Linked DNA regions of Arabidopsis thaliana. The protein of the gene in region 1 purifies or fractionates together with the protein of each later gene. This does not show direct contact. Each region holds a gene or a part of one and is shown in the gene's direction. Other genes may lie near its edges. The genes, in order: AT5G44320, AT1G66070, AT5G25754 and AT5G37475.

What was found.
Region 2: the proteins of AT5G44320 (region 1) and AT1G66070 fractionate together in Arabidopsis thaliana (co-fractionation; one large-scale study listed by BioGRID). This does not show direct contact.
Region 3: the proteins of AT5G44320 (region 1) and AT5G25754 fractionate together in Arabidopsis thaliana (co-fractionation; one large-scale study listed by BioGRID). This does not show direct contact.
Region 4: the proteins of AT5G44320 (region 1) and AT5G37475 fractionate together in Arabidopsis thaliana (co-fractionation; one large-scale study listed by BioGRID). This does not show direct contact.

The regions. Positions count from the first base shown.
Region 1 is NC_003076.8:17,854,000-17,858,717, reverse strand, and holds AT5G44320 (Eukaryotic translation initiation factor 3 subunit 7 (eIF-3)), read left to right. Parts: upstream 1-1,977; 5' UTR 1,978-2,050; coding exon 2,051-3,817; 3' UTR 3,818-4,171; downstream 4,172-4,718. Other genes in the region: AT5G44330 (Tetratricopeptide repeat (TPR)-like superfamily protein), read right to left, coding at 1-448, 530-598, 674-822, 902-1,114, 1,202-1,393; ABCI9 (Stabilizer of iron transporter SufD superfamily protein), read right to left, coding at 4,197-4,415, 4,492-4,576, 4,636-4,718.
Region 2 is NC_003070.9:24,595,279-24,600,605, reverse strand, and holds AT1G66070 (Translation initiation factor eIF3 subunit), read left to right. Parts: upstream 1-1,974; 5' UTR 1,975-2,239; intron 2,240-3,027; 5' UTR 3,028-3,085; coding exon 3,086-3,098; intron 3,099-3,296; coding exon 3,297-3,418; intron 3,419-3,545; coding exon 3,546-3,694; intron 3,695-3,817; coding exon 3,818-3,965; intron 3,966-4,056; coding exon 4,057-4,213; intron 4,214-4,320; coding exon 4,321-4,412; 3' UTR 4,413-4,797; downstream 4,798-5,327. Other genes in the region: AT1G66080 (hikeshi-like protein), read left to right, coding at 1-250.
Region 3 is NC_003076.8:8,951,416-8,957,877, forward strand, and holds AT5G25754 (RNA polymerase I-associated factor PAF67), read left to right. Parts: upstream 1-1,959; 5' UTR 1,960-2,148; coding exon 2,149-2,502; intron 2,503-2,633; coding exon 2,634-3,613; intron 3,614-3,704; coding exon 3,705-3,798; intron 3,799-3,890; coding exon 3,891-3,962; intron 3,963-4,051; coding exon 4,052-4,096; 3' UTR 4,097-5,924; downstream 5,925-6,462.
Region 4 is NC_003076.8:14,865,539-14,870,735, reverse strand, and holds AT5G37475 (Translation initiation factor eIF3 subunit), read left to right. Parts: upstream 1-1,960; 5' UTR 1,961-2,129; exon of another isoform or gene 2,130-2,929; 5' UTR 2,930-2,986; coding exon 2,987-2,999; intron 3,000-3,219; coding exon 3,220-3,338; intron 3,339-3,432; coding exon 3,433-3,581; intron 3,582-3,733; coding exon 3,734-3,881; intron 3,882-4,002; coding exon 4,003-4,162; intron 4,163-4,319; coding exon 4,320-4,408; 3' UTR 4,409-4,679; downstream 4,680-5,197.

The DNA.
Region 1 (4,718 bases):
AATTGTCGCATCCCATTTACTCTGATCTACTTCCTCATCTACCCATTTACATTCCCGGGGTTGTGTAGTCAGACCTGGTGAGTTTTGTTCAACCGATTCAGAGGAAGCATGCGAGTTTGTCTTGTGAATATTACCCAGTTCAGTGCTAGTTCCAGCTAGAGCCTTCTTTCCTTTCATCCCACCTGAACATCTCGAAGAGAAGTTATCTGAAAAGCTACTTGTCAGCAAATCTTCTGGTTTATCCGCTACTGTTGCTTGTTCTCTTTCTGCTAACATCTCAGTAGCCCGTTCAAAAGACTTGCAAAACGGTTCATTCTTCCATTGATTCCCTAGAGACTGTTTTACATCCTCAAGCAGAGATTTAGCTTCATGGGTTCTTTCCATACGTATCAAACAGATTGCAAGATTGCACAACTTGTTATTGTCAGGTTCCAAAGACAAAGCATTCCTATCACAGTAAAACCCATTTCACTTGTTAAGGCAATGATAAAACTAACATTCTTAATGGGATTGATGGTGTTTCACAAACCTGTAATACTGCTCTGCAATTCCATAGTTATGAAGCTGTAAGTGAACCCAAGCTAAGTTCCCTAGAATCCTACATATCCAAACACCAAGAAAGTCAGAGAAACTACTCTTTCAGGTATAAAGCGGAGATGGGAGATTGTCTTGCCGTGCTTTCTCTTGCTCGATTGTCTTGTTATTCTGCTCCTCATGGCTTCTTTTCGCTATTTTGATCCTGCCACCATAATGTTTGTCTTGTTCAAGTGTTCTCAGTTTGTGTTCAAGCAGCTCAGCGACCTCTGTAATCCTCCCAGACTTCTGCAAAACCAAAATCCATCAAAATCACATACTGAGCATAGAAATAGCTTCACAATTAGTCATACTGAGAAAGTTTTACCATGTAGAGTTCAAGTAACAAGTTATCAATAGAATCTTGAGATTCAAAAGGGCAGAGATATCGAAAAGACTTGATAGCTTCGATTCCTTCATCGAATCGGTTCAACTGTTTTAAAACAACTACCATGTCCTTCAATGCACTATCAACTCTATCTCCAGCATTAATCGCCGCCCAAAACAACGAGATAGCTCGATTCGGGTCTTTAGAAACCAACTGTTATTGAAAACAATTCCATGTCAAGAACAAACGTTCATACACATAAACCAATACAATTCACTAAAAACCCTATATTGATATTACCTGAGCATGTTTGGCTCTGACGTAAGGAGAATCACCAGTACGAACCCTAAACGATTCTTGATTCTCGATCAAAGGTGATCTTTTCCTCTCCGAAATCGGCATCGCAATGTAAACTCTTCTCGTCGTGTGCCATGACGGTGGTGGAGTCAAGAAACCTCCTCCCTTAGCACCACGGCTCTCACGACGCCGCATAGTGAGAATCTTCTTTTCTCGGGAAAATCTTCTTTACTTCCCCGAGAAAATGTTTCCGATGATCAAATTTTTGGGGTTCTATGGAACGTGTTTGTTAAAGATTAAGAAGCAAAGCGATTCCAAGCCGGAAAAGAGAAGAGACTAATGGAGAAATTTTCCCGAGAAAATTGGAGATTCTTTTTGAATTTTCTCTGAAGAAGAGAAGAGAGTAAAAAAGTCTTTATATAGTTGGACCTTAAGTAACCAATGAAAAACTTAGGGGAAAGAAGTGAGACATGGATATAAAAACAAGGATCTAAATAAAATAAGTTTTGCGACGAGTACAAATTCGTAAACTTTTGAATTGAAGTGCAACGTTCAGTTATTGGTTAACAGATCATGAACCGGTTCTAAGCCGGTTTCTTAATTCCTTAATAAATGTACGGTTGAATATAACCCAAAATTTCGATTGAGAGAATATAGCCCAAACCAAAAGCATTGGTTAGCTTAAACCGACGTCCTTTTGACTGAGTGAGATAATAATGGGCTTAAAAGGGCTAGAGTTTCTTATGACAAGAGAAAAGCCCATTGAGGCCCATTAAGGGCTAGGGTTTTCATTGTTGACAAAATAAAATACAAATTTTTCACTTGCGCACATCTTCTTCGCAAATCTCAACAATGGTGTTTGAAGCATTCGAAGTCGGCACAGTCCCATTCAATTCCGATGGTTGGGGACCACCAGATGCTTCCGACACTTCCTCCACCAGCGTCGCGGCGGCGAATCTCCTCCCAAACGTCCCCTTCGCTTCCTTCTCACGATCCGAAAAACTCGGACGCGTTGCTGATTGGACTCGAGCTCTCTCAAATCCATCAGCTCGTCCTCACACCGGATCCAAATCAGATCCATCAGCGATCTTCGATTTCTCAGCTTTTGCAGTAGATGAAGGATTTGGTCTAACAAACTCAGGTGGAAACGCCGACGAAGACGCCGCTTTCCGATTAGTCGACGGAAAACCACCGCCGCGTCCTAAATTCGGACCTAAATGGAGATTCAATCAATACCATAACCGAAATCAGCTTCCTCAACGTCGTGATGAAGAAGTTGAAGCTAAGAAACGTGAAGCTGAGAAAGATCGAGCTCGTCGTGATCGTCTCTACAATAACAATCGTAACAATATTCATCAGCAACGCCGTGAAGCCGCCGCGTTTAAATCATCAGTTGATATTCAACCGGAATGGAATATGCTTGAGCAGATTCCGTTTTCGACTTTCTCTAAGCTTTCGTTTACAGTTTCTGAACCTGAAGATCTTCTTCTTTGTGGTGGACTTGAGTCTTATGATCGGAGTTTTGATCGTATTACTCCTAAAGCTGATCGTAGACTTGAGCGTTTCAAGAACAGAAGCTTTAAGGTTACTACAAGTGATGATCTTGTGATCAGACGTCTTGCTAAAGAAGATAAAGCTACTGTTTTTGCTACTGATGCTATTCTAGCTGCTCTTATGTGTGCTCCTAGATCGGTTTATTCATGGGATCTTGTGATTCAACGTGTTGGGAATAAGCTTTTCTTTGATAAGAGAGATGGGTCACCGCTTGATTTGTTATCTGTTCATGAGACTTCTCAAGAGCCTTTGCCTGAGGGTAAAGATGATATTAACTCTGCTCATTCTCTAGGTCTGGAGGCTGCTTATATTAATCAGAATTTTGCTCAGCAGGTTTTGGTTAAGAATGGGAAAAGGGAAACTTTTGATGAGCCAATTCCTAATGTTAATGAAGGTGAAGAGAATGCTTCTATTGCTTATAGGTATAGGAGATGGAAGCTTGATGATAGTATGTATCTAGTTGCTAGGTGTGAGTTACAGAGCACTGTTGATTTGAATAACCAGAGATCGTTTTTAACTTTGAATGCTCTTAACGAGTTTGATCCTAAGTACTCTGGTGTTGATTGGAGACAGAAGCTTGAGACTCAGAGAGGTGCGGTTTTAGCTAATGAGTTGAAGAACAATGGTAATAAGTTAGCTAAATGGACTGCGCAGGCTCTCTTGGCTAATGCGGATATGATGAAGATTGGGTTTGTTTCGAGGGTTCATCCTCGTGATCATTTTAACCATGTTATATTATCGGTTTTGGGGTATAAGCCGAAAGATTTCGCTGGGCAGATCAATCTGAACACTAACAATATGTGGGGAATTGTGAAGTCGATTGTTGATCTGTGTATGAAGTTAAGTGAAGGAAAGTATGTTCTAGTGAAGGATCCATCGAAGCCTCAAGTTAGGATTTACGAAGTTCCGGCTGATGCATTTGACAATGATTATGTGGAGGAGCCACTCCCTGAAGATGAACAGGTTCAGCCACCTGAGGAGAACACTGATGCAGGAGCAGAGACTAATGGGGTTTCCTCTACTAATGTAGCTGTAGAGGATAAGAAATCCGAAGTTGAAGCCTGATTTTGATGATATGGGTATATTTCAAGTCGTGTTGTTTTGAGTTACTTTTAAAAAATGTTCGAAAGCTTGTTCACTTTTTCATAGACTATTTATGTTCCAAAATGTTGGTTCATGCTTTCTTGGTTGTTTTTGAATTAACTCTTTGAACTTAAAAGGTCATCACTGTGGTAGGTGCTTGGTCATTGATATTCCGGCATTAGAGAACAGTAGCATCTTTGATTATTCGTGAGACTCTTTTCTGATCGAGAATATGCTTTTTCTCAAGTGTTTATATATCAGTTTTCTCAAGCCAAAATTAATTATTGAAAGCCTAAAATTGTTAGCAGTTTGTTGGGCACAAGTAAAGCTTTCTTTAATGTTAAGTAATTGTGAGATTTGTTTAACCCACTGATCCTTCAAGCTTAATGCTCAAAAGCTGGTTAACTTCGGCTCCAAATTCATTAGGCAACTTGTTGAAAACATCTCTGCAAAATCCAGAGATCATTGCCGCTAATGCTCTCTCATGATCGATACCTCTCTGTTGAAAATAGAAAATCTGATCTTCTCCAATCTTTGAAGTACTTGCTTCATGCTCTATTCTCGCCGATGGATTCTTTACCTGTTATAAGATCTTCATTAGAGGTGCTTTTATCATAACCTTATAATAAAAGGTTAGATGATCATATACAAAGTACCTGTATGTAAGGATATGTATTAGCGGCTGCATTGTCACCAATAAGCATCGAGTCACAAGTCGAAGTATTTCTAGCGTTCTCAGCTCTGGATTGGTCCATGTATCAGCTTGCTGGTAGTTATTAGTCAATGATACGGATTAAAACTCTCCAACGGAATCATCTCCTTCTAAAACCACGCTTGGATACTTCCAAGTTATCGCGAACCCTTTCTCAACTTGAGTCCATGA
Region 2 (5,327 bases), on another chromosome or scaffold:
CTTATCGGCGAAGATCGGTGTTTCGGTGGAGGATGTAGCAGCGTTGAGGTCGTTGGATGTTGTTGCGGAGAGGAGGATTGAGAAATTGGCTATGAAAGTTGGAGAGAATTTGTTTAACTTTATGCAGTCTTTTTGTGGTGTTGATGGAAGTAAATTGGTTGTTCCTATGGATATTTTGGATCGTTGGTTTAAGAAGTTTCAGGAGAAAGCTAAACGTGATCCTGATTTCCTCAAAAGCTTTGCTTTGTAAGGTTAGCGTTTTTGTAACATTTGATCTTGTGGTTCTATGTGATGAATTGAACAAGAGATTGTAGTTTTACTTTGTTTGTCAATGTTTATTAACTAGTTGATCATACTCTGCTTTTAAGCAATTTAAAGTGTTGAACTTTATATCTTGTTGGTTTGAGGTAGATGAAAAGGTGAAGATTTAATCTGTCTTGTGTTGAGGAATGAATTTTGATTCTTAGTTTTTGATTAGCTCACTTTGGTATACTGTGTGGTTGAATCCATTTGATCTTGGGTTATATATGATGAATTGGAGGAGAGATTGTAGTTTTACTTAGTTTGCTAGTGAGATAATATGAGGGTTATGAATATTTTGGTTTCAGTGTTCTTCTTGCTTACATATGAATCACAGTTTTAGTAGGTGGAATGGTGGATACTGTTTCGTATCTATTGTTCATAAGTTTATACTCTGCTGTTAGAAATTTAAAGTGATGAACTTTCTCTTGTTGTTTTGAGGATTGAGGTAGATGAAAGGGTTAAGATTAAATCTGTTCATGTTTTTATGATGAATCTAAGACAACATTTTAGTTTACTTAGTTTGCCAATGAGAAAATGTGAGAGATATGCATAATTGCTTTCCATGTTCATATTTTTTTCTTCGGTTAATTTAGTGCAATTCAACAGAGGAAGGTTTGACATTTTTTGGTCTAGTAATATATGATTCAGTATTTGGTCAGAGGATAGTTTAACAGTTTCAGTGTTCTAACTCACATTATAAATCATAGTTTTGGTAAGTGGATGCTGTTTCAGATTCTGGTCATGTTCATAGGCTCAATCAACCTTTGATCTTAGCAATATAAAGTGTTGAGCTTTATATCTTGTTGAATCGAGGTAGATGAAAAGTGAAGATTTAATCCATCTTGTGTTGAGGAATGAATCTTGATTCCTAGTTTTTGAGAAGCTTCAGTTTCTTACAGTGTGTACTGTGTGGTTTTACCCGTTTGATCTTAGGTTCTATATGATAAATGGAAGAAGAGATTGTAGTTTATTATAATTTAATCTTATGTTCTATATTTGTTTTCAACGGTTAATTCAATATTTTGTGAGAACTATATGAGTAGTTGCAAAATATGAATCACATATACATTGAGTGGATACTGTTTCAGATTTGGTCATGGTCATAAGCTCAAATGTAGCTCTTAAGTAATTTAAAGTGATGAACTTTATTTTTGTTGCTTAGAGGTGGATGAAAGGTGATGATTTAACTCAGCTTGTGTGTGAGGAATGAATCTTGAATCTTGAATCTTGATTCTTGTCCACTATATCACAGTAGATCGTTAATACATTGATCTAATCGATTGAAGTTGTTGTTTGATATGGTTCTAGATTGGCTTACCAACGGCTTCAATATTCAATGGACCTAAACAATTTGTAGAGTCAAGAAGCTTACAAATATTCGGGATAATCTGACTTGGATGGACAACTCTAGTTGTCTGATACATACGATGAATCAAAATCAAAGCCTTTAACTTAAACTTCAATCTCGAATACATAAGTATTTTCTACAATCGATTGCACACATGTGAGAATACCCTTCAACCCTCATTTGCAAAAAGTACTTAATACTTGGTCAGCAAATTCAAATCATTGTGCAAAAACTCCAAAAAAAAATGATTAAAAACGGAATAAAAAAATGGAGAGTGTAAGATGGAAAAAGTTACATGTTGGGGCCACGGTGATCGGTTCGACCGTATCAGTCTAACCGAAATTGACCAAACAACTTTGGTCTATACTTTGATCGGTTCGACATGTTGGGGCCACGGTGGAAAGGCTTTATAAAAAGGCATAAAATCTAACGAAAAACAAAAGGAAACACACAAAAGCCCTAAATCTCTTTTTAACCTCTGAAGCAAAAACCACCACATCGGAGATTTCTAATCCAACGAAAACGCTTCAATTTTCTTGCGATTTCTCTTCCTCTGCGAAAAACCCTTTTGGATTCAGACTTTCCTCGGTATGTTTTCTTATCAAAGGGTTTTCCTTTCTCAGTTAAATTCGCTTCTAGATCTTAATTTTCGATTGATTCTCTGGTGGGTTTCTATAGAATTGCTCCAAATTATGATTTTGATTTGATTTGATTTCTTAATGTTGGGTTCTCGAATTCATGGTTAATGATTCAAACTTTATCATCAAAACTTCTCTGTGTGTAGTGTAGATTACTATGACCAATTCGTTACTTTTTCTCTGCTCTTTGTTTGCATGATGATGTTCAAGTTGAATCCTTTTTTTATTGAAACAAGGACTTCTTAAGGTTTTAACCATTTTGATTGATTTCGATTGAGGAATTCATATCGATGTTGCAAATCCATAGGATTGGATTACCAAAATCAGAAGGAAATTATTAGTTATGTGTTTAAGATTCTTGTGTTTTGGGGACTGTTTTTGTTTGGTATCTCTCTAAGAGTTCATGGAACTTGTGTTCAGGTTTAGATAGCTGACATGCCTGTAATAGTTTTAATTGATATAAGATATCTTGTCTTTTGTAAGCATTAGATTTAGCTGTTTTTCCTGGGTGTGAAATATTAGGCCTATGTGTTTTTGTTAGCTGTGAAACCTTGATTTGTAAAGTAATAGTATCAGTATTCTCTGTCTATGATGTGAAGTTAGCAAGCTTACTACAAGTAGTTTAAGCATATTTACACATGGGGATCAGTGTATTTGATTATGTGGATTGAATGATTGATCAGTAATGTAGTTTGATCAAATAAGCGTGTTTCTGATGCTTACGCGTATGTTTGGCAGGTTTACCAGTTGGACTCAGATAGAAGCTTATATCTGTACCTGATAATTTGCAGCAAATATGGATGACTGGGGTAAGACTATGCTTTAAGTGTCCTCTCTTATATTCTCTATTTGTATCTAATTATAGTCTTCTTATTTATTTATAGTATTTGATTGGATATGCAAGCAATTTTGGATTATTTGCTAATCTGATGGGTTTCATATTTGATATTTCAAAATCGTATCACTAGCATGTGAGTAGTCTTATAATTTTTATTTTCTGATTCCAGAGGACGAGAAAATTGCACCACTTCCAGCAAAAGTTGAGCTTAAAAGTAACTGGGATGATGAAGATGTGGATGAGAATGAAATTAAGGATTCATGGGAGGATGATGATGATGAACCTGCTCAGGTATAGCTTAGTTTTTACTCTCTGTAATTCTTTCCCTATTGGCTAGTGGCTACTACGTATAATTTGGTTTGAGATTCCAACGGGAATATTTATGTTTTGTCTGCTTTGCCTTGTTGTTTTTCTGTAGCCGCCTGTTATAAATCCTGCTCCGGAGAAGGCTCCTAAGAAAGCAGCCCCCAAAACTGTTGAAAAGAAGGGTAAAGCAGTCGAAGTTCCAAAGGAAGCACCAAAAGAAAAACCTCTAGATCCTATAGCGGAGAAACTTCGCCAGCAGAGGTACAGTTTGTAAATAATATCTTTCCCACACATAATAATTCACTTTAATCTTTTGTACTTTGTGTATGGAAGAAGGCTGTGAAGGTCTATGTGACCTTATATGTTATATTCTTTCTATCACAGGCTTGTTGAGGAAGCCGACTACCGGGCAACTGCTGAGCTCTTTGGAGTGAAGGATGATGACAAAAACCTTGATATGTTTATCCCCAAGTCTGAAAGCGATTTTTTGGAATATGCTGAAATGATTTCTCATAGGATTAAACCATATGAGGTATGTTGTATTCTGCCTTATATACCTTTATTCTCATTGGCTAGTATTGAAGCTCATGATGTGTGAAAATATAGTTTGGTTTCTGTTGCAGAAAAGTTATCACTATATAGCGCTGCTCAAAACAATCATGAGACTTTCATTGACCAACATGAAAGCAGCTGATGTTAAAGATGTTGCTTCGTCCATTACAACGATAGCAAATGAAAAACTAAAGGCAGAGAAAGAAGCTGCTGCGGGAAAAAAGAAAGGTATTATTCTGAATGTGTTACTCACAATCACTTCATCTTTGGTTTATAGTTTTATGAATGTGTTATTCTGAATCCGTTTTTCATGACCATTGGCATTGCTTGATCAGGTGGAAAGAAGAAACAACTTATTGTAGATAAGGCCAATGACGATCTAGTGGCTGGTCCTTATGATGCCATGGATGACTTCGACTTCATGTAGATTAAAAGAGCTTTTTGAGCAAATGCAAATTGGATTTGTCCAGCGTCTATTTTATCATTTATCTATCACTCAAAAGAAACACATTTTTCTTAATTTTGGTTTGAATAGAGCAAGAAGAGCCAAATTTCTGGTTGCGGAAATATATAGTTGGAACATGGGAAGCTTTTGTTTTGGTTTGGTCTGGGAATTCTCTAGAGTCATGTTTTTGGTTCTATTTGTTGGTTGAAAAAGCTATACTTAAAGTGTCCGTATAAATTTATTATTGACATTGATCTGATTAAATCTCTTTGGGGGTTGAATTTCTTATAGACATGAGTGCGTTTCATGTTGTCCAATCTTTAAATACTGCCTCTTGAGTAAGAGAGAAAATGTTGATTCGTTACAATTCGCTAATGTTAGTAGTAAACCTTGAAACACGCTAATATCATCATGACTTTACATTAGCTAATAACATAAAGATGTGAATGGGAATGACATAAAGAATTCATGGGAGGATGATGATGAGTTTTTAACTAAGGAACTCTAATTCCTTACTAGTTAATTTCCAACAACAACACAGTGACTGTATTGTTTAATCTTCTTAATTGGTGGTTGAGTTGCTTCTTCTTCTTCTTCGGACTCTGTGTTGTTTCCTCCGGAAGACATTGTGTCAACAACTTCAGCCTCTTCCACATTCTCTTTTAGGAGAAAGATTAGTGGGATTGATTAAAGAAAGTAATCATATGAATTGATTGATATAATTCTCTGTAATGTAGACTCTTAAATATGTTACAATATCTACTCTCTAAGATATTCTTTTTATAAGAATCTTTTAAAACTTCAAGAAGATTCATTTAATGATTTCCAGTAATGGTGAAGAAAAATATCCAACTAAAAACAAAAAAAAGCAGAAAAATATCCTATCCTATCATTATC
Region 3 (6,462 bases), 8.9 Mb from region 1:
TTTGTCAATCTATCAATCGTTTCATCTACCTTGCATTCACTGGACAGCTAGTATGTTCCTTACACGAAAAGTTTTGTCTCGTCATTTTTACGAGGACTTTTTAACGTCTTGATCCATAGATGCCGAAGGAAATTTGCTGAGAAGCCAAACTAAAACAACCCCAACAAGAGCACCAGAGAGATGCGCAATGTGATTAACAGTTTGTAAAGAGTATCCACCATATATAGTTCCTGATAATCCAGCCGACGCCTGAGCTGCTTCCATTACCTATTCAGATCAATTAACTAAACAGTTATCGTCCCTGAATTCGAAGAGCTTCTATATTGCATACATCATCAGACATTTTCTCTCATATATTGTATAAAAACCTCATTATACTCATAAGAAGATGGGACTGTAAGCCGGAATACGGTTATAACGGTAGTGATGCTGTGAGTAAATTTTGAGAAAATCTTACCCTCTCAATAACGAACTGACCCAATATAAGAACTTCAAGGATTTTCCTCCAATCCCAAGACATCTAGACAATCAAAAGAAGTTGAATATTAGCAAGATATTACTGAGGAGTTTGATTTACAAGGAGAGAAGAAAACTACAGTACCTTGACGAGGACACTGATAGCAAATAACCCAAAAACAGCTCCCGAGGCACCAACAGAAACAGCATTTCTCGGTAAAACTAACCAAGAAACAAGGTTAGCTCCAACACCAGTGAACAAGTAGGAGAGCCACAAACCAAAGTTTCCTTCTTCTTCTTCAACAAGCTTTCCTGATTCCCAAATGTGTCCATTAGCTCTCTGAATCGATAAACTAGCTAGAAATTCAAACTATGAGAAAATCTTGAACTCTCACCAAATATGTACAAGAAAAAAAGATTGCTGGAGAGATGGTTCCTAGAATCATACATGATACATAAAAAAAAAACCAAGAATCAGGAGAAACATCAACATAAGCCACAGAGAAAAAAACTATCATAAGTGTTGTTCGTTTGGTAGTCACAGGATGCCTGCGACTGCGACTGAAAGTTGATCGTTTGACAGTCGCAAGATCCTGCAACTAATCGCGCGATCAATCGCTGCGGCTTGCGACTGAATTTTTTGATCGCATGAAAAAAGAGCGACGCGGCTTTTTAAATGGCGATTAATCGCAGCGATTGGTAAACGAACAACATCCTGCGATTTTAAAATCGCAATCGCAATCGCAGCCACAGCCACAGCCGCTAGCGATTATGAAACGAACAGTGCCAAAGTAAAAAAGAAAGAAGAGAGCTCTCTCACCAGTTAGCATGACAGAATGTAGCCGTCACAAACTGATACCATGCCGGAAAATTGTGATACAAATACAAAGATTTGATCCCACGAACCTAAATCGAATAAACAATATAAAACGTATGATAAGATAAGCACGTCACAATCCAAAGAGATGGGATTACACGAATAACGTTTTACAGTGTAGATGATTGATATCTAAAGACAAGCTTTCATACCTGAAAGAAGTGATCAGCAAGATATATGCCCAGATTGATAAGTATGATCCAAAATATGCCATTTGCTCGCTTTTGTGGTTTTCGATTGTCTTTTGCTTTATCCAATTCAAATTGTGGCGTAATATCTGCAAAACTTACAATGATTTCGTTGAAGATGAAGAAGATGTTGCTAAGAATCTAATACAATCACTTGGAATGTTTCATTAGATCGAAAAAAAGAAAGAAAAAACGATAAGTCTCACCGGATTGGCTGAATCTGCAAGTTATTTGAGATCTAGAGACTGTGAGAGGACGAAACTGCAGGGGGGGTTGAGTTGAGTTAGTTGGCGACGAAGCTGCACGTCGGCGATGTAAAGGCGGGAATCTGAAACGAAGAGATGATTGTGGAAGAGAGAGACGGTGAAGGTGAAGAAGCTGAGACATTGAGATTTGAGAGAGAGTCAGAGTACACAAAATTAATTTCGATTCAGTTTTGGTCTAATTCGGTAAAATAGATAAACAACCGAAAAATAAATCGAGATATAAACAAACCGGTGGTAATCGTTCATTTAGTAGTAAAAGCAAACCGGAGGATAGACCCGGTGGTAATAAGGAAACCCTAGGCGGTGGAAGTGAGTTGAAGAGTTAACATTGTTGCGGCCGCTAAGAATTGATCCGGCGAGAATGGCGAGCAGCAATGAGTACGAGGAAGGTCCAGGGGAGAGGGAGAGTGGGTACGACCCGAATATGGTGCCGGATTCGGTGAAATCGTTCGTGTCACACATGTACAGACACATAAGGGACAAGAACGTGTACGAGATCCACCAGATGTGTGAGACATCGTTCCAGAGCATATCGGAGCGTCTGTTCAAGGACACGCCGTGGCCAAGTGTGGAAGCGATTGCTCCTTACGTAGACAACGACCATGTGTTCTGTCTTCTGTACCGTGAGATGTGGTTTCGACATTTGTATGCGAGGTTGTCTCCGACGTTGAAGCAGAGGATTGATTCTTATGACAACTATTGCAGCCTCTTTCAGGTCTGTTGTGGAATTCTTCTACTTCTTCTTCCTTGTTAGATAGAGATGTTGTTGATTTTGATTTCTTTTGTGTATGTATTGGCTGGGAATAAATACAAGTAAGTAGACCTTCTTCCGTTTGTTCTTTCTAGGTTGTGTTGCACGGCGTAGTGAATATGCAGTTGCCGAACCAGTGGTTGTGGGATATGGTGGATGAGTTTGTCTACCAGTTCCAAAGTTTCTGTCAATTCAGAGCAAAGCTCAAGAACAAAACAGAGGAGGAGATTGCATTGCTCAGACAGCACGATAAGGCCTGGAATGTCTATGGCGTGCTCAACTTCTTGCAAGCACTTGTGGAGAAGTCTTGTATCATCCAGATCCTTGAGCATGACAAGGATGGCCTTGAGTTCACTGAGACTGATGGCTACGATTTCAGCGGTGGCAGCAACGTCTTGAAGGTCCTCGGTTACTTCAGCATGGTCGGTCTCTTGCGTGTTCACTGCCTCCTCGGTGACTACCACACTGCTCTCAAATGGTTGCAGCCCATTGACATCACTCAGCCAGGTGTTTACACCAGTGTCATTGGTTGCCATATCGCTACTATCTACCACTATGGATTTGCCACCCTTATGTTGCGGAGGTATGTCGATGCTGTTCGTGAGTTCAACAAGATTCTCCTCTACATTTTCAAGACTAAGCAGTACCATCAAAAGTCACCTCAGTACGAGCAATTACTCAAGAAGAATGAGCAGATGTACGCTTTGCTTGCTCTCTCCCTCTCCCTCTGCCCTCAAACTAAACTCGTTGACGAGTCTGTCAACTCTCAGCTGCGAGACAAGTATGGTGAAAAGATGATGAGGATGCTGAGGTCTGACGACGAGGCCTTTGGTATTTATGATGAGCTCTTCTCTTACGCATGCCCCAAGTTTATCACCCCTTCCGCACCACCAACTTTCGAGGAACCTCTTGTCAATTACAATCAGGATGCATACAGGCTTCAGCTGAAGATGTTCCTTTACGAGGTAAAGCAGCAGCAGCTCTTGTCGGGAGTGCGGACTTTCCTGAAAGTCTACTCCTCCATTTCTCTTGCTAAGCTCGCAAACTACATGGAAGTTGATGAGCCCACTCTAAGGTCAGGGACTAACTATGGGCATTCTTATAACTATTATTACCAAATCTACTTCTCTCTTTTTCTTTGACATGTACGGGGTTTTAATTTGCAGGACCATATTGTTAACATACAAGCACAAGACCCATTCAGTTGATTCCGATGGTAGGATCATCTCCAATGCAGACATTGATTTCTTCATCAACAACGTATGTTCTTTCTTCTCTCTCTGTCTTTCTGATATCGATACTCTGGTGCTTTTACAACGTTTGTAACAACTCTAAACCTGGTGACACTGCAGGACATGATCTACGTTGTCGAATCAAAACCCGCAAAACGTTATGGTGATTTCTTCTTGCGGCAGATTGCCAAGGTATGTTGTATAAACTGAAACTAAGACTCGTGCACATCAACTCTTGTTTTGATTTTTGGGTCTTTTTCTTTTTTTCCTCCATTGCGCAGCTTGAAGGTGTGATCAACGACATGGATCGTGTCAAGCTGGAATGACGACTTTTCTGTGTTATACCTAATCATCAATGCCCAATCTGATATGATGCTTTCTCTTATAAACCATATGTTTACTTAAAGCCAAACACTTTTTTGAGTAGCTGTCTTCATGTGGTCAAATGATAACCATAAATCATCTTTCTTATGGATTATTGCTAGTTTTTTTTATTGAGTATGGCACTGAAGATTATAACCAATCTCGAGTTTCTTTCGAATTGCTAGTTCAAAAACATTGAAAGTATTCAAGGTTATGAAAATTTTAAGTCACCACTACTTGCCAACAGAATGGTTTTAAAGTCAAAGTAGAATAAATTGCTATTTGACTTTTATGTATCATAGTAACTACAGGTCTGTTCTTCGTTCTTGCTGATTACAGAATACACAGGAGTTAATCTTTTTCATCATCTTCCAAAACTATTCGACGTATACATGGTGATAAGTATCAAGCCACCAAACTCTGATTAACTTATCGCCGATCAATGTACAAACCAAAGGAGACGCCTAACATATCATCTTGGTTAGCTCATCATCTACCATTCTCACGCAGAAGCTTCTACATCAATCAGCATAAAGAATCTCTAAACAATGAGATCATCTATATAAGCAGCAATCCCCACTTGCATCTATTGCAGATATTATTCTTTTTCTTCTAGCATCTCGTCACACGTGCATATTTCTCCCGCACATGTGCTCTCTTATCACATGGTTCCCCTGCTGGATTGCTTCACCTTCAAGTCATACGAATACGTTGTTTTCTTTTGAAACGTTGCGGCAACAAAGCAACCGTACGCTTGTGTCTCCCGGGGATGTCTTCGAGCTTGGTGATAATAGGTTTTTAGGGTATCAATTCCTAAAACACTATCATATCGTTGTAATACTTAAGGTTGTCAATCCAATCTGGTGTGATGCAAACAGATGAGATATAATCAGAATTTACTAAGTCAAGCCAAGCAGAGAGTTGTCAGTTTCTAATAATCTTAATGTCGATTAACATAAATGAAATGAAACTAAAATGTGAAATGGCAATAGCAAGTAGATGAATAACAAAGCAGATGAGATAACAGACAATCAAATGGATAAAAGATTCCTAAGGATGAAGTAATCGAATAGCGTGATCTCCTTAATCTATTAAGATGGTTGATAAAACTTCACATAAGTTATCCCTACAACAAGTTCAGTAACAGATTAATTCACTACCGTGATAGAAATCCTCAAGTAAAGCTAGACACTGACCTAATCACCATTAGCGATCTCTAACTAAGCAGGCAATATCAAATCAACTTGTTAAAGCCAATACACGCTCTAAATGGCAATTGCCTTGGGATATAGACGAGTATCACTGCAATTAGTAGATCCGACATTCCATCGAACACTTTTTGAGTGCGGGAATGTCATGATTCATGTTCGAGTTGATCAGAAAGAAACAAGCAATAAGCGCAACTAATCCAGAAGAGATTCAAATATTCTAGACTCAACCAATGAAATTGGACATGGTGGATTTGGTAAAAGTCTATAAGGACCGTTAATATTGAGATTTTGAAATGTGAAAAAGTAACCGTCAATATTGAAAAAGACGATAAGATTCGGATTGAGATTTTGTCAAAAATAGTTTGATTCGTGAAAGATTTAAATTCGAACGCAAATTGTTTACCGGCCAATTTAAAATATTTTTGATTTTCATTAATTTTTATGTTAAATTTTAAAATAGAATAATTATAATAAAAATAAAATTTTAAATTTCTAGACACCATAAACAAATATGTTAATAAAATTATTTTTATCCAAAATTATAAAACTAATGTCATATAATCTAAAGATTAATAATCAATTGAGATGGTAAAGTAAAATTGGAATTTTATTTTTGTTGTGGGATCGAAAATAACAACATTTAATTATTTGGGTATTAAATTGCACATTTTTATTACTTTATTTTTTCCCAACCCAAAATTGGGAATTAAACGTCCAAATAAAAATTAGTTAAAATTTTTTTTGGGTTTTTTCCCTTTTAGAAAAGGTTTTTTTACCCCATTTTTATTCGAGATGCTTGACAATTTCATAATTGTTTAATTATTTATATATGTCAAAGTTTTCTAAAGAAGGAAAAAAATCAGAAATGCTATTAGAACATATTAGAGCAAAATATGTAAAAAAAATTGAAAGAACAAGAGCAATTAAGGGGGAAAAAACAAAAATATAATTGCATATTGTGGAATTAAGGAAATGAAAAGGAATGGAATTTAATTTAGATCATGAGATGTGTCAAATAATACTTATCATATTAGTTTTTTTTTACTAATATTTCGATCCACATGTGAACATGTGAGAGCAAAACATTATTTTATCTTTTTTTGTAAAGATAATAATCA
Region 4 (5,197 bases), 3.0 Mb from region 1:
ATGACCATCATATACAAAAGGTTGAAAATAAAGAAAATATCATTGATTCATTGTAATGCAATATAAGCTATTCTATATAGAATTCAAATAAATTTTGTTGATTTATTAAAAGTGTCTATGACATTGAGATTGAAAAGAGTATTCTAATAAGGGCTATATTAATATCTATGCTCAGATGATCAGAATATTAAGTATCTATGTATGAAAACTGAGTTATTAATCCTCTGTCTTCCCCAACATAATTTCTGACAAAAAAGCTCCTATAAAACCAAAATATAGTTTATAGCATAGTTTCAACATGCTAAAGATATCTTAGAAGATATCTCCCACTGGCATTAAAAACATAAAGATATTGTAAATCATTATTGATATGTATAGGGTTGTAGGTATGTCGAATATATACGATACTAGTTTCCGTTGGCTTTTAGAAATAATCCTCAAACAATAAACTGCGAGTTTAAATAGAACCTATGTGGTCTCGCTGACTATAAGCAACGTTCTGATAACAAATAGTATCGCGATAATCTCGTATCTGCTAAACATAATGATATTTCCGTTAACTTTATAAAGAAAGTCCACAATCAATAGACTACGAGTTTAAATGGTAACAATGTTAGTCGATATAACTACTAGCAGATAATTAAGATAATAACTACGATGCCACATGTTGTCCCTTTGTGTTTTACAACAAGAATCAAAGCTAGTAACACGTTCTAATAATAACAGAATCATGAAAACCTCTTATTCGCTAAACACGAGCATATTTGTTTGTAGCCTTTTAAAAATAATCCTCAAACAATAGCCTACGAGTTTAAATGGTAACAATGTTAGTCGATTTAACTTCTATCAGATAAGAAAAATAATAACGACGATGCCACAGGTTGTCTCCTTGTGTTTTACAAAAAGAATCAAAACTAATAAACACTTCCTGATAACAACCCGTATCGCGATAAGCTTCTAACCGCTAACATCAGTATCAGGATAATCTCGTTTTGGCCGCTAAAGACTATATCATTTTAGTTAACTTTTTAATTTCTTTTTACAAACAATAGACTACGAGTTTAAATGGTAATAATGTTAGTCGATATAACAACTAGCAGATAATTAAAATAATAACGACAATGCCACATGTTGTCTATTTGTGTTTTAGAACAAGAATCAAAACTAGGAACACGTTCTGATAACATTAGTATCGCGATAACGACGATGCCACATGTTGTCCATTTGTGTTTTACAACAAGAATCAAAACTAGGAACACGTTCTGATAACATTAGTATCGCGATAACCTTTCTTCTTCATATAGGATCGAAAAATATGACTGATCGTTAGGTGGGGAAGAAAAAAAAACATAAAAAAAAATACAACTCCCAAAACAATATCAACATAAAATCTTCTCCTACCGTGTGCAATAATATCTCGCTACAATCTATAATTGACTAAACTGATAATATAGGGGGTAAAAAAAATGTTATCGAGTGATATTTTCCTTCTAATAAAAACTAAGTTTTCAATTTTTTTTTTGTGGTTTAGCTTTTTAGGTTTTTTTGTTTTTGTTCAAGTCTTTGTATTATATCAAAATTGGAAGTCTTATGAAAATCGTTTTACTAATAATATTTATGAAATACATCTGATGATAGTTAAAAATTTATATCATTTTAAAATTATTTTTCTTAATTAATCTAAATTTTTAATTTCGTTAAAAATAAATTCTTATTATTTTTTTTTATTTTGGTCCAAAATGTTTATTAATCTTAGTTATGAATTATATTTAAACAATTGTTCTTTTATGTTTTTTTTTTAACAATTGTTCTTTTATTTATTTTGTTAAGAATATAACACTGACAAAACAAAAGAGAAAATAAAATACCTAAATATAGGTAATTTTAAAAAGTTTAAGCCAATTCAAATTAGGTGATCAAAAAAAGAAGAAGGGAAATAAGTATTTTTAAAAAATATAAATAATTCCACTTAAATGCGAATATTATAGAAAGAGAAGAGAAAAACCTAAAATCCATCTTCGTTGTCGTTTCGTCTGCTTCACATCGGAAAGCTACATCTTTTTCGTTTTTTGTGGTGGCGATTTCTATTCTCCGGCTGAAACCTACCTTCAGGATTCAGCCTTTCTCAGGTACTGTTTCTTCCGTCTCCATTCGCTTCAATTTCACTTGACTGTTGAATTCATCGAATTGAATCCGAGCTGGGCATGCCAATATTTATCAGTACTGATTTTGTGTAAGGTTAGATTTAGGATTTGTGGTGCTTGATGGGTTTTTATTGGTAATTGGGTTGTAGGTTCCTCCTTAAAAGTTGTGTAATTTGTCACTAATTGGGTTTAGATTACACTAATGATCAATCAAACTCTGTTTTGCTATATTCTTTTGTATGATTGATGATGTTTAAAAGCTGAATCCTTTCATGAATCAGGTCGCAAACTCGGTGTTCATAACCTAAGTTTTGGAACGAACAAACTTGTGTTTGCTGGCTTGCTTGAGAATTAACTTGTAATCAGGCTCTATGCTCTTATTTTAGTAGTTCTATTTGCATGTGAAGTACTAGTAGGATCAGAAAGTCTTTCTATAGTAGATTGTTTTATGTTCTTAAGCTGTGAAGCCTTGATCCTAAGAGTAATTGTATCATTGTCTTGGGCTGTTATGAATTCCTGGTATTTGCAAGTTTACTGTGAGTTGTTACACACGTTTTTGTTGCTTGGTCAGACCAGATGACTAACTACTTAAAATCATGAATATCACTATATTGAAAATATCATATTCGATTTTTCATAGGAGTTTTGTTGCATTTTACCTCCAGGATATATAACTAACTAATGTATGATTTACATTTAAGCATCACCAGTGAGAGCCTTTGTTCTGATCTTTGTTCTGATCTTTGTTCTTTCTGATGTTATGTGGCTGCTTGTGCCTTGTGCAGGTTTTCAGTTGGATTCAGATAGCAGCTTGTACTTCTTCTAGATAATCGGCGACACATATGGATGATTGGGGTAAGACTTACATTAAGAATTGTTCAATACACAATACTTTCTTGTTCTCTAGGTGTTGCATTAATCTCTTTGAATATGTAAAAAGTAGTACAGGCTGTATACAGCTATATATATTTTACTATGTTCTCTAAGATGATAGGCTTTATTGTTGTTTTATTGAAGTTTTCATATGGGAAATATATTAGAATTCTCACTTTTAGGTTTTCCTTTCTGATTTCAGAGGCCGAGGACTTTCAACCACTTCCCTCAAAAGTTGAACTGAAAAGTAACTGGGATGATGAGGATGTGGATGAGAATGATATCAAGGACTCGTGGGAGGAGGAAGATGTATCTGCTCCGGTATATTTTTCTTTCATTATATACTTTTAGTCATTGGGTTTTGTTTGTTATTTGTTTTTGAGATTGCGGCTAACAATCTTTGTTTCTCCTGTAGCCACCTATAGTAAAGCCTGCTTCTGAGAAGGCTCCAAAGAAACCAGCAGTAAAAGCTGTTGAAAAGAAGGTTAAAACTGTTGAAGCTCCGAAAGGAACATCAAGGGAAGAACCTCTAGATCCTATTGCTGAGAAACTTCGCATGCAGAGGTAGAGTGTAATAATAGTTCACTTACATATGCTTCTACTGTTGGTTCTGCATTGGTTTGGTTGAATGGGATGAAAAATGTTTTCTAGTAGTGTAAGAAGCATGTCACTGAGGAAGGCCATTGTGCTAATTTTTAATATTCTTCTTATCTTAGGCTTGTAGAGGAAGCTGATTACCAATCAACTGCTGAACTCTTTGGAGTAAAGACTGAAGAGAAAAGCGTCGATATGTTAATTCCGAAGTCTGAAAGCGATTTCTTGGATTATGCTGAGTTGATATCTCAGAGACTTGTACCATTTGAGGTATGCTATTTTCATTTCCTGTTACTTTCTTGTCTTAGCTAACTGTCACTTATTTCTATATGACCAAATATCATATTAAGACCAATTCGTCTGCATTTTAACTATGTCTACTATTTCGCAGAAAAGCTTTCACTATATCGGGCTACTCAAAGCAGTGATGAGACTTTCTGTGGCTAATATGAAAGCAGCAGATGTTAAAGACGTTGCTTCGTCCATTACAGCTATAGCAAATGAAAAATTGAAGGCGGAGAAAGAAGCTGCTGCTGGCAAAAAGAAGTCAGGTACACACAATCAGTCTTTGAATTTTGTTTTATTCTTTGGATTTGATAAGACTTGTGAATTATATGTTTTTAAGCTAAGCAAGCATGTCTCTGTTTCCAAAATGATCAGATTAAAATGTTTTTTTCTTTCTTTCTTTCGTTTCACTGTGTTTACTAGGTAAGAAGAAACAACTTCATGTTGATAAGCCTGATGATGATCTTGTTTCGGGTCCTTATGATGCCATGGACGATGATGATTTCATGTGAGAAAATGGCAATTTTGGAGATTGCATTTTACCTCCTATAGGATTGTAACTGAGAAGAGGTTTAAATCGTCGGCGGTTTTTTGTTTTGTATACTGAATTGCAAAAGTGTTTTTCTTCTGTTTTCTTTGCTCGGTTTGATTTAAAAATTTGTGTAATAAGATTTGTTGTGGGCACACTATTTCCTATTATATGAATTGAACGAGTACTAAGAGCACGGCCTATGATTCACTTAGAATTTGAAGCCACATTAGTAAGATAAGTTTTCGATAATGAACCAGCAAATCTAACACATTACAAGAGATATACACTCGAAGAAGACCTAAACATGTAGTGTGAAGAGTAATCAATACGTAGAGAATCAAATGAACTGGAGAATCTTCGGGGAGTAGCTTGATCAAGTCTTTGGCGTAAAGTGATGCATGTGTCATGGGAGAGAATTGATGAATCTAGTGATGCCCTAAATTGGTTCTCAGTTGTAACAAACTATCGATACAGATAAGAAATAGAGAGATTCATAGTTATTGTTTGAAAATTTAGAAAAGTTAGAAAAGTTAGAAAAGTTTTTGTTTGAAAAATAACCTACCCATTTTTTCTCTTTAAAAACTATTTTCTAAAATAAGAAAGGAATATAAAATTACAAATATATCCTTACTAAAATTTACTAATAATTTTAAAACATTTATATTTAAAACAAAATCAGCTTTTTATTATATTTTTTGTCGATCAAAATAATATATTTTAATTTAAAAATATTTGATGTAACTATTTTTTTCGTCAACTATTTAATATT